2 linked regions of the Rattus norvegicus genome follow. The protein of the gene in region 2 binds, or shares a complex with, the protein of the main gene of each other region. Links are inferred from orthologs where the notes say so. Each region holds a gene or a part of one and is shown on either strand. Other genes may lie near its edges. The genes, in order: Sufu and Gli1.

Region 1 (4,313 bases), on a different chromosome or scaffold from region 2:
TGACAGGCCGGGCCAGTGACAAAGAGCTGGCGGCCTAGGCTGAAACCTCGGAAACAATCCTTCCTGGAGGAGAACACAGTCCCTTCAAAGATAGGAAAGATGCTACTCACATTGTCGATCACAACAGGCTGGTTGGCGATCACATCGTAGGACTCCATGGCAGAGGAATCTTTCCCTCCGAGGAAGGAACTGCCAGCCCGGTCCGCAGCAAACGCCACTGACACGCATGCGCAGTCTAGTCGCCGGTACTGGGCGTCCAGGGAGCGGCCCGACCTCGCCTCCGAAGAACTACAATCCCCAGCATTCTTTGCTCCAAACCGAGTCCCATCCAGATCGGGTTTAGGAGATTGGACAGTGTATTTCCGACATATGGTGCCATGGGGTTTGTAGTGTCTGTAGATTAAAGAGCCACAATGTTGATGATTAATGTTGCATGACTGGATTTGAGGCCCCTTCCAAGGGGTTTCCAATACACTCTTTTGGAGTCTGAAGTACTTGTGAATAGTTGGGATTGGATTTGTCAGTAGTTCAGGGGCGGTTGAATTTTACAGATTATTTCTACCTTTCAGCCATTCCTTCACTTGGGCAATATAAACCATTACAAACATCTGTGGAACTGGAATGTCAGTGGTAGAATGCTTGCCCGGCACTTACAAGAGCCCAGCAGCACCGGGGGTGGTGCTGCATGCCTTTAATCTCACCACTTGGGGCAAAGGTAGCAAGATCTGAGTTCGAGGCTAGCCTGGTTTATAGAGTGAGTTCCAGAACAGTGAGGGGCTATACAGAGAAAACAAACCTGTCTCGAAAAACAACAAAAAGTAAAACGAAAAGCAAAACAAGACAAAACCGTGAAGCAAAAGCCAATGGAGGTTATCAAAAATTACCTGTAAGTTGGATGCCACGGAACTACTGGTCTAAAGAGGTTTAGAAACTTGCAGCTTGCTAGGCAAGCGCTCTACCACTGAGCTAAATCCTCAACCCCAGGTTTAGAAACTTTTATCATCTTTCTTGAGCTTGACCTTGATGGATGATAATATCCAGGTGAAGAGAAAGAGTAGGTAAATGCTTTTCAGCTAGGAATTTTCCCCAGGCACTTTTCGTGTTACTCTTTTTATCAATAGTTCCAAGAAATAATTAGACTTGTAATATATTAATAATAATGACACAGTCTGATGATTTAATCATTTGTCAAGCTTATCTTAAAATCGTGTGTTAGCACCATGTTAAGCGCTTCTCGGGCGTTTCTTAGAGCTTTCATAGGACCCTAGCACCTCAAGGTACGGCGCCTCGGTTTTAAACTGGGTTCCTCCTAACACTAGGGGGAGGCCAAGATCCTTGGGACACTCCCAACACAGGGGCAGGGAGGCGGAGTCTATTGTCAAGTCACGCCTTTCCCACTTGTGACTGGCAAAGACACTAGCCAATGGGTGCCAGGCAAGGGCACGCCGACGCCCCACCCTCTGGAGCTCCCCGCGGTCCCACAGCATCCTCTGGCCGACGTCTTGAAGGCTCCGACTTGGGCGGACGGAGCCTCGTGCGCAGGCGCGGAGTTAGACCTCGCCGTAGCCCCCATCGCCTCGGGGACTCTTCATCCACAGTGGGTCCGCTGGCCCATAGGGGCGCTTTCCCTCCTCTACCCTCCCGGGTTCCCCGCGCGCCCTACGCGCCCCAATGGCGGAGCTGAGGCCTAGCGTCGCCCCCGGCCCCGCCGCGCCCCCGGCCTCTGGCCCTAGTGCCCCCCCGGCCTTTGCTTCACTCTTTCCCCCGGGACTCCACGCCATCTACGGAGAGTGCCGCCGCCTCTACCCTGACCAGCCGAACCCGCTCCAGGTTACCGCTATCGTCAAGTACTGGTATGCTCTGGGCCTCGGGAGGACCGGGGCTGGCCGGGAAAGCTTCGAGCACTGGGGACGAAGTAATTTGCAGAAGTGGGAGGAAGAAAACGGTCCAAGTACTTAGGAACCAGGAGCTTCCTGATGCTGTGGAAGGAGTTAGGACAGAAGTTGGGAATGGGGACAAAGGGTTAATGGATCCCTTGAGTAGTGAGGGGTTAACCGGGATTAGGAGAACTGAGAACTAGGGGTGTATACAGGAACTGAGGGGGGACGTGTGAGAGCGAACTGTAAACGTGGAGAAAGGAGGGGGCGCCTGTGGTGGGTCATTAGTGGGCTTGGGGGAGCCAGGGGGCGGCTGGAGTGGAATGGGGGGGAGGTAAGGCGGGGCCTGGAGAGCATTTGAGAGGGCTTTGGAGGGTACGAGATCGCGTAGTCTAGGGCGGTCCGGGGACCAGGACGCCCCTGTGGGTTAGGAGGGAGTAAGATGTGAGGGCATTGTGCCTTTGATGCGTGAAGAGTTGAGGAGACAGCTTTCTTTTTTTCCGGGAGGTTCCCGAACGAACGCTGGAGCTTCTGTCATTCAGTGCGAAGCTGTTGCTCTTGAAGTTTGACAGAGCCGCTCTTCCAGATAAACTTTTTGCTTACTCTGCACACTTCTCTTTCTCCCTGCAGAGCTTGCTTCTGACTTTGCAGCTGCTTTTGCTTTAGGTCGTTAGTTAAGAACAGGTTTCGGGAGGGCCAAGCTTTGGCTCTGGATTGAAGGAGATCGTAGCTTGCCACGAGGTGCGTGATGGAGACCTGAGTGGGCAGGAGGAATGAAGTGTAGCTTGAAGAAGCGCTTCCTGCCTTGCCTTCAGGATTTCAGCCGAAGTTTAAAGTTGCCCAGTAACGATCAGGTTCCAAACGGGCTGGCTGTCCTTGGGGTAGAAATGGTGCTCTCTAATCTCCTATTCTTTTTGCAACCCGTTTCTTCAAGTCAGCCTGAATTCAGACAAGTGTTATGGGACAAGTCCTCGTGGTCTTTCTGCACCAAAAATAGACTAAGAGATGGCCACATTCATGTAGGCAGTCACTGTATTAGATGACCCCTTTCAGTGGATCCCGGAAAATACCTGGAGCAATGGCTTGGGGAATTGGCAAAAACTGGACCTGAAGTGGGGGAAGTGGATGTCTTTACAGCTTACACTGCTTTTAAAGCCGAGTCTTTTTCCTATGTAACAACCTCTGATTGCCTCTGGAGATGGGCGACAGGCTATACAGGACTGAGGCTAACTCCCTGTGTCAGTTATGTACATGATGGGAAGGAAACTGACAGCCGGGAGGACCTGGGGACCAGCCTCATCTGGGTAGCCAGGAGACATGCCGGCAAGGCATCTGTGCAGGGCAGCCTGTTTCCAGGCTGAAGAGAGTTTCAAAGAGTGCTTCTGAGCAGGAAGCAGCTCTTGCTAACCTAATCACCCATTTCAATTGCACCTCTGTATTAGTTATGATGAACTTGTCCCACGTCATGAGAAAAATGGGGCTAGCCTTGCCGTGCTGTTTGCTCTAATCTTGTGTAAGTGTGAGGGAAAAGTTTCTGTGCAGAATATGGGGCGCCTGGTTTTATATCACCTACACGGCCATCAAGACAGAGTCGTGCATTAGAGGTATGAAACCATTATGCAAAAGACCAAGGGTAATTATACCACTTATTTTTTTTTCTACAAGTTTGTAGTGAGGCTGTATCCCCAGAGGTAGACTAGCATGTGATGACAAATGAAAAGACATGTACAGTACTTTGTGAAGTAAGAAATGCCACCTAGACACGGGAATCTAAGAGGAACCAGCTTAGTAATGGTTCTTTCTAAAACTCATAGGGATTTGCAGAATTGAGATACTGAAGTTTATTGCTGTCCCTTATGTTTAGTATCTTACAGCAGTATGACCCACTAAACTGCTTGCGTCTGGCTATGGGCTTTCTTTGGGGGTTGAGGGGTAGCATTTTAGCTAGTGGTCCCTGGCCACCAGGAATACTCTGACTGAGATTTTCAAGCAAGACAAGATCAAAGTAGGGAGGCAGAGCCTTGTGTCTTATCCTGCAACTACCCTATAGAGAGAAAGAAATCAGGTGTTGAGGGAATTGAGGTAAGGGATGTTCTGGGCCATTGGACTGCATCTCTTCCTAAGTGTAAAATATGATTTTTCCCCCATTCATCTGAGTGCAAGTATAAGGCTAACTTTGCTTGGTTCGTGGCCTCTTCTTGATGTGACCTCTCTTGGGAGACCGGCTGTGGGAGCCACAGCATGCCTGCAAGCAGAACAAGGAGAGGAGACACAGTGCTACTGCCTGTTGCTGCATGGACCTGGGCTGCGTCAAGGGCTGTTGGGGATTTGTAGCAGGAAGTTGGAAAGAGTGTGGAGTCTGTCTCTTTTAGGGTTCTACAGCCTTTTCTCTCCTCTATCCATCCCCAAACCATTTCCAAACCCAGCTGGTTATGG
Region 2 (4,367 bases):
CACATGGAGAGGTTTAATGAGAGAAGAAGAGCAGAGAAGAGGAAAGGCCAGCCATGAGCACTGGAGGGAAGCGGGGGTGGGGTGGGGTGGGGGTAGGGCGATGGGGAGAGAAGGGACAGGGAAGAGGGGAAGAGCAGGGAAGAACGAAGAGTAAGAGCAACATAGCATTTTATATACATCAGTGTGTTTATCTTTCTATCCATATGGTCTTCAGCAAGAGTTAACATTTGCTTACGAAGGAAGGGACTTTGAAGGCATGTCAACTAGGACCCTGTCTTGACTTGGCACCAATATAGAGAGGGATGGGTGCCTTACCGTGCACTTGTGTGGCTTCTCGCCCGTGTGTCTGCGCATGTGCACCACCAGCATGTACTGGGCCTTGAAGGGCCTCAGCTCCCTGGAGCAGCCTCCCCAGTGGCACACGAACTCCTTCCGCTCCCCGTGGATGTGCTCACTGTTGATGTGCTAAAGAGGAAGACGAAGAGGCTTTCCAAGGTCCCAGACACCACCCAGACCTTGAATGTACTCCCTCCAGCCCTGTACTCATCGTCCTCAGCTCCTCCTCTTGGGGGAATAGGGGTGGGGAACGCAGTTCACCCACACCTCAGGTCTTCTAGCCTTCTAGAGCAGACACTCTGGGCTTCAGTCTGCAGGACCAAGCATGCGATCTCTGACCTTAGTACCCTTGAACCTCCTGCCCTTCACTAGATCTCAAAGCTCCATTTAGTCTCCTTCAGGTTCCCACCAACTGCCTGTTACCCCCTGGGGCTCACGTGCACCAGCTGTTCTTGGGAATCGAACTCCTGGCTGCAACCATCCCAGCGGCAGTCCGTCTCATACACAGACTCAGGCTCAGGTTTCTCCTCTCTCTCCAGGTCCTCCCGTCCATCCAGCATCCCCAGCAGGTGATCCTAGGGCAAGAGAGACAATCCTTAGGGTCATTTGTGTGGCAAGTTTTGTTTCACTTGGGTCCCCGGGGAAAAGCCCCACCCTCCCCTTACCTGTGTGCTCGTGGAGTTGGGGCTAGACATGTCCCCTTCCAAAGGTTCCTCTGGGCACTTGCCAACCATGATGTCCAGCTCTGACTTCAGCTTCCCCAAGGGAAGAGGTGAGGGTATTGAGGGTGGAATAGTAAGAAGGGAAAGCATGTCAGGTCTTCCTGCCCTACAGACCCCCACCCAAATAGCAGGATCCTGTGAGTGTGAGGACTCTCTTCACAGCCTGTACTGGTGAGTGGTATGAACAGAGAGGTGCTCTCCTGTGGGAGAGTCCGAATCCAGGTTCCTAGTACCAAACGCTTTTATATCTGCTGTGTCCTTCACCTGCCCCCTGCTAAGTCTCCTACCCACTTATCCTGAGCTGGAGAAGACAACGTGGAGGGCCCCACCTGGCAGGTTGCACGTGGTCCTCGGGACTGGGGGTGAAGCATCATTGAACCCTGAGTAGAATCATGTGGAACACAGGGCTGGACTCCATAGGGAGGTGAAGTTCCTTTCTGGTGACTCATCTGAGGTGGGAATCCTAAAGAAGGGCTAGATGAAGAGGAGGCTGTTAGTTGAGAGAATCAGTCACCAGGAGCCCTCTCTCTGTTCTTCAGGATTCTGGAAGGGTTGGTTGAAGAAGCCCCAGGGAGGTCCTGAAGAGGGTTCCAATGCTTTGGGAGGGGAAGGACTAGAGTTGGGCTGGGGGTTTAAAGGGTCTGAGTCTTCTAATGGGTTTCAGTACATATCTTAGGGGCCTCTTTTTTTTTTTTTTTTGGTTCTTTTTTTCAGAGCTGGGGACCGAACCCAGGGCCTTGCGCTTCCTAGGCAAGCGCTTTACCACTGAGCTAAATCCCCAACCCCTCTTAGGGGCCTCTTAATTTGAGGCTGCCAGTACCTCATGGTGCCAATGGAGAGATGGCCGTAGGAACCGCCTGGAGATGTACAACGAGAGTTGATGAAAGCCACGAGGGAGCTGGGTGAGGTACGGATTACGGTTTGCAGGTCGAGGCTGGCGTCAGAGAGAGGCGAGATGGAAAGAGCCCGCTTCTTAGTCAGTTTGACTGAACTCCGAGGAGGAGGAAAGAGTGACCCTAGGGCAGGAGACAGGAGTTAAGATATAGTAAAGGGGGCTGGAGAGGTGGCTCTGTGATTAAGAGCACTTGCTGTTCTTCCAAAGGATCTGACTATGATTTCTGGCACCCACATCAGGCGGTTCACAGCCACCTATAACCGCATAACTGCATCTCCAGGGATGGTCCTACACCCTTGGCCTCAGGGAGGGCACCAGGACATGCACATACACAAATGCAGACACACACAGTGTTAAAATATAACATTAAACATGTACTGTAAAGGTACATGTATCCCTGCACTTGGTAGGTGGGGCCTCACTCAAAAACCACACTGCTTTTGCCTTGCTGCGTTTAGAAACTCTTGATCATCCTCCCATCCCCTTGTCTCTGGATGTTTCTTCCCTCGAGTTTGGCCCTTGCTTCCCCACCTTCTCCTGCACAGGAAGTCCCAGAGGGGCAGAAGTAGGGAGGGTTATCTGGGTTCTCACCCTCAGTGCAGCTGCTGGTCTCTCTGGCAGACCCATAACCCTGGGACCCTGACATAAAATTGGCTTGGTGGCAAAAGGGCAGACCAGAAAGTCCTAGAAAAGAGAGACAGCTGTAGCCAGGCATTTGAATGGGGGATACAGGGCTTATCTTGAGACCCTACATAAGATATGACCCCAGACTCCAAACATACATAGCATGGGTCACAAAATCCTCCTGTAGACAGGAAACTAGCATGGGGTAGGGATGGGGTGGGAGGGATCCTGGAGCTGGGCGAGACATCTGCCAAGTCCTCAAGGCCCAGAGACTGGTAAATGTTTTTACCTTCTGTTCCCATGCTGGGGACCCCTTGGCTGGGGAGGGGTCGGAGACAGCATGGCTCACCATAGCTATTGACTTGTGGTGAAGTCATTGGATTGAACATGGTGTCTCAGCGAAGGATGAGGGGCCCTGCAGAAAGGAACGTAGACCCACCAGTTACAAAGATGGAGAGAAACAGAAGCTAAATAACAAGTTCAGGCACAAATCCCCGGCTGGCATGTCCCTTGTGCCTCTGACCCCCATCTCAGAGACTGGTCATGGAAATCATCCCAAAGAGTGGGCAGAAGCAGACGGTCAGTCATGGAGGTCTCTTGGGGGTCTTGGATAGGAGCTCCTCAGTCTCTGTATGTACACGGGAATGTTAGGGAATAAACGATCCAACCTAAGTCGTAGGTGATTTTAGTGCCATGAGCTCTCTACTTGCTTTTCTTTTTTCTTTTCTCTCTACCGTTTCTTGTTCTGGCCATGGACCAGCTCTGAGGTGTGTGATGGTGGAACACACACACACACACACACACACACACACACACACACACACACACACACACACACAGAGGAAGGTCTGACTTCTGCCGGCTCATGCCCAAGAGCTCAATGCAATCTCTCCAGTGTCCAGTAGAGGGAGACCTCGCTTCAGTCCACATTGACTGGTGGGGCCAGAAGAGAACACAAACCATGTGTCCTCTCAGACCGAGAACTGTGTGTGGGAGGGAATAAGGCTTCAGAGCAGAGCGTCTCCCAGTCTGTTGAGTAAAAAGGATGGGAGCTAAAGTCATTCTGAGGCGGTCTGAATCTGGGTCTAACTATTCCTCTTGGTTTTGGAAAGGACTGGAAAGGGATTGTCAGGAAAGGCTTAATGAGAATGGGAAAACTAAGTCCTCTATTAGGCGAGGGAGGGGAGGCAAGGAGGGAGGGAGGGAAGGAGGAGCTGGTGCGAGGTCCACGTTTCCTCCTCAACAAGTTTTCACTCCACTCCAGGTTTTTCGGTCTTCCGGGAGCGGAGGGTGGGGTGGGGCGGGGTGGGGTGGAGAACCGCCGGGAGCGGGCCGGCCGGCGCGGTGGGTGATCCCGGGATGCTGGGATTTAGGGTGAGGGCGGGGTAAAATGGGGAACGGAACCCGGACCCTACGACCCAACCTAAGTGCTATAGCCTTTGCTAACTCCTCCTTTTTCAGCCGAGACCCGGATCCCGCATCCAAGACCTCCCAGCTCGGCATTGGCACTAATGTTGGGGGTGGGGGGCACAGCTGGCTGGCAGCTGGATGAGGGGGCACGTCTCCCGCCTCTCTCCTCTGTGACTCATTCAAAGGAAGGGGAGGACTTGCAAAGGACCCCCAGACACTAGATGTTCCCTCAAAGTTGTCAGTCTTATCTCCCTGTCCCATTGCCCGACCACCCCAAGAGACAGTATGAAAACGGGACGACAGCCCCCTTCGCCCACGCGAGCCACCGTCTACACTCACGTCTCCCCCCTTCATACTACTAAAGACATCGCTAACTTTTC

What was found.
Region 1: the proteins of Gli1 (region 2) and Sufu are in contact, whole or in part, in a crystal structure (PDB 4KMD), measured with the Homo sapiens proteins. The link is inferred for Rattus norvegicus from reciprocal best matches to the Homo sapiens genes GLI1 and SUFU. Residues at the interface, in NP_005260.1 of Homo sapiens: Gly119, Ser120, Tyr121, Gly122, His123, Leu124, Ser125, Ile126, Gly127; in NP_057253.2 of Homo sapiens: Leu144, Tyr147, Asn153, Thr154, Phe155, Gly158, Asp159, His160, Val161, Ser162, Trp163, His164, Gln212, Asn265, Leu266, Ser267, Gly268, Val269, Ser270, Ala271, Glu376, Leu380, Lys398.

The regions. Positions count from the first base shown.
Region 1 is NC_086019.1:255,197,688-255,202,000, forward strand, and holds the start of Sufu (suppressor of fused homolog), read left to right. Parts: upstream 1-1,501; 5' UTR 1,502-1,671; coding exon 1,672-1,853; intron 1,854-4,313. Other genes in the region: Actr1a (alpha-centractin), read right to left, coding at 111-158. UniProt on the Homo sapiens protein: Negative regulator in the hedgehog/smoothened signaling pathway. Down-regulates GLI1-mediated transactivation of target genes. Down-regulates GLI2-mediated transactivation of target genes. Part of a corepressor complex that acts on DNA-bound GLI1.
Region 2 is NC_086025.1:65,048,442-65,052,808, forward strand, and holds the start of Gli1 (zinc finger protein GLI1), read right to left. Parts: upstream 2,967-4,367; coding exon 2,867-2,966; intron 2,638-2,866; coding exon 2,545-2,637; intron 2,075-2,544; coding exon 1,879-2,074; intron 1,533-1,878; coding exon 1,388-1,532; intron 1,092-1,387; coding exon 1,002-1,091; intron 912-1,001; coding exon 774-911; intron 466-773; coding exon 316-465; intron 1-315. UniProt on the Homo sapiens protein: Acts as a transcriptional activator. Binds to the DNA consensus sequence 5'-GACCACCCA-3'. Regulates the transcription of specific genes during normal development.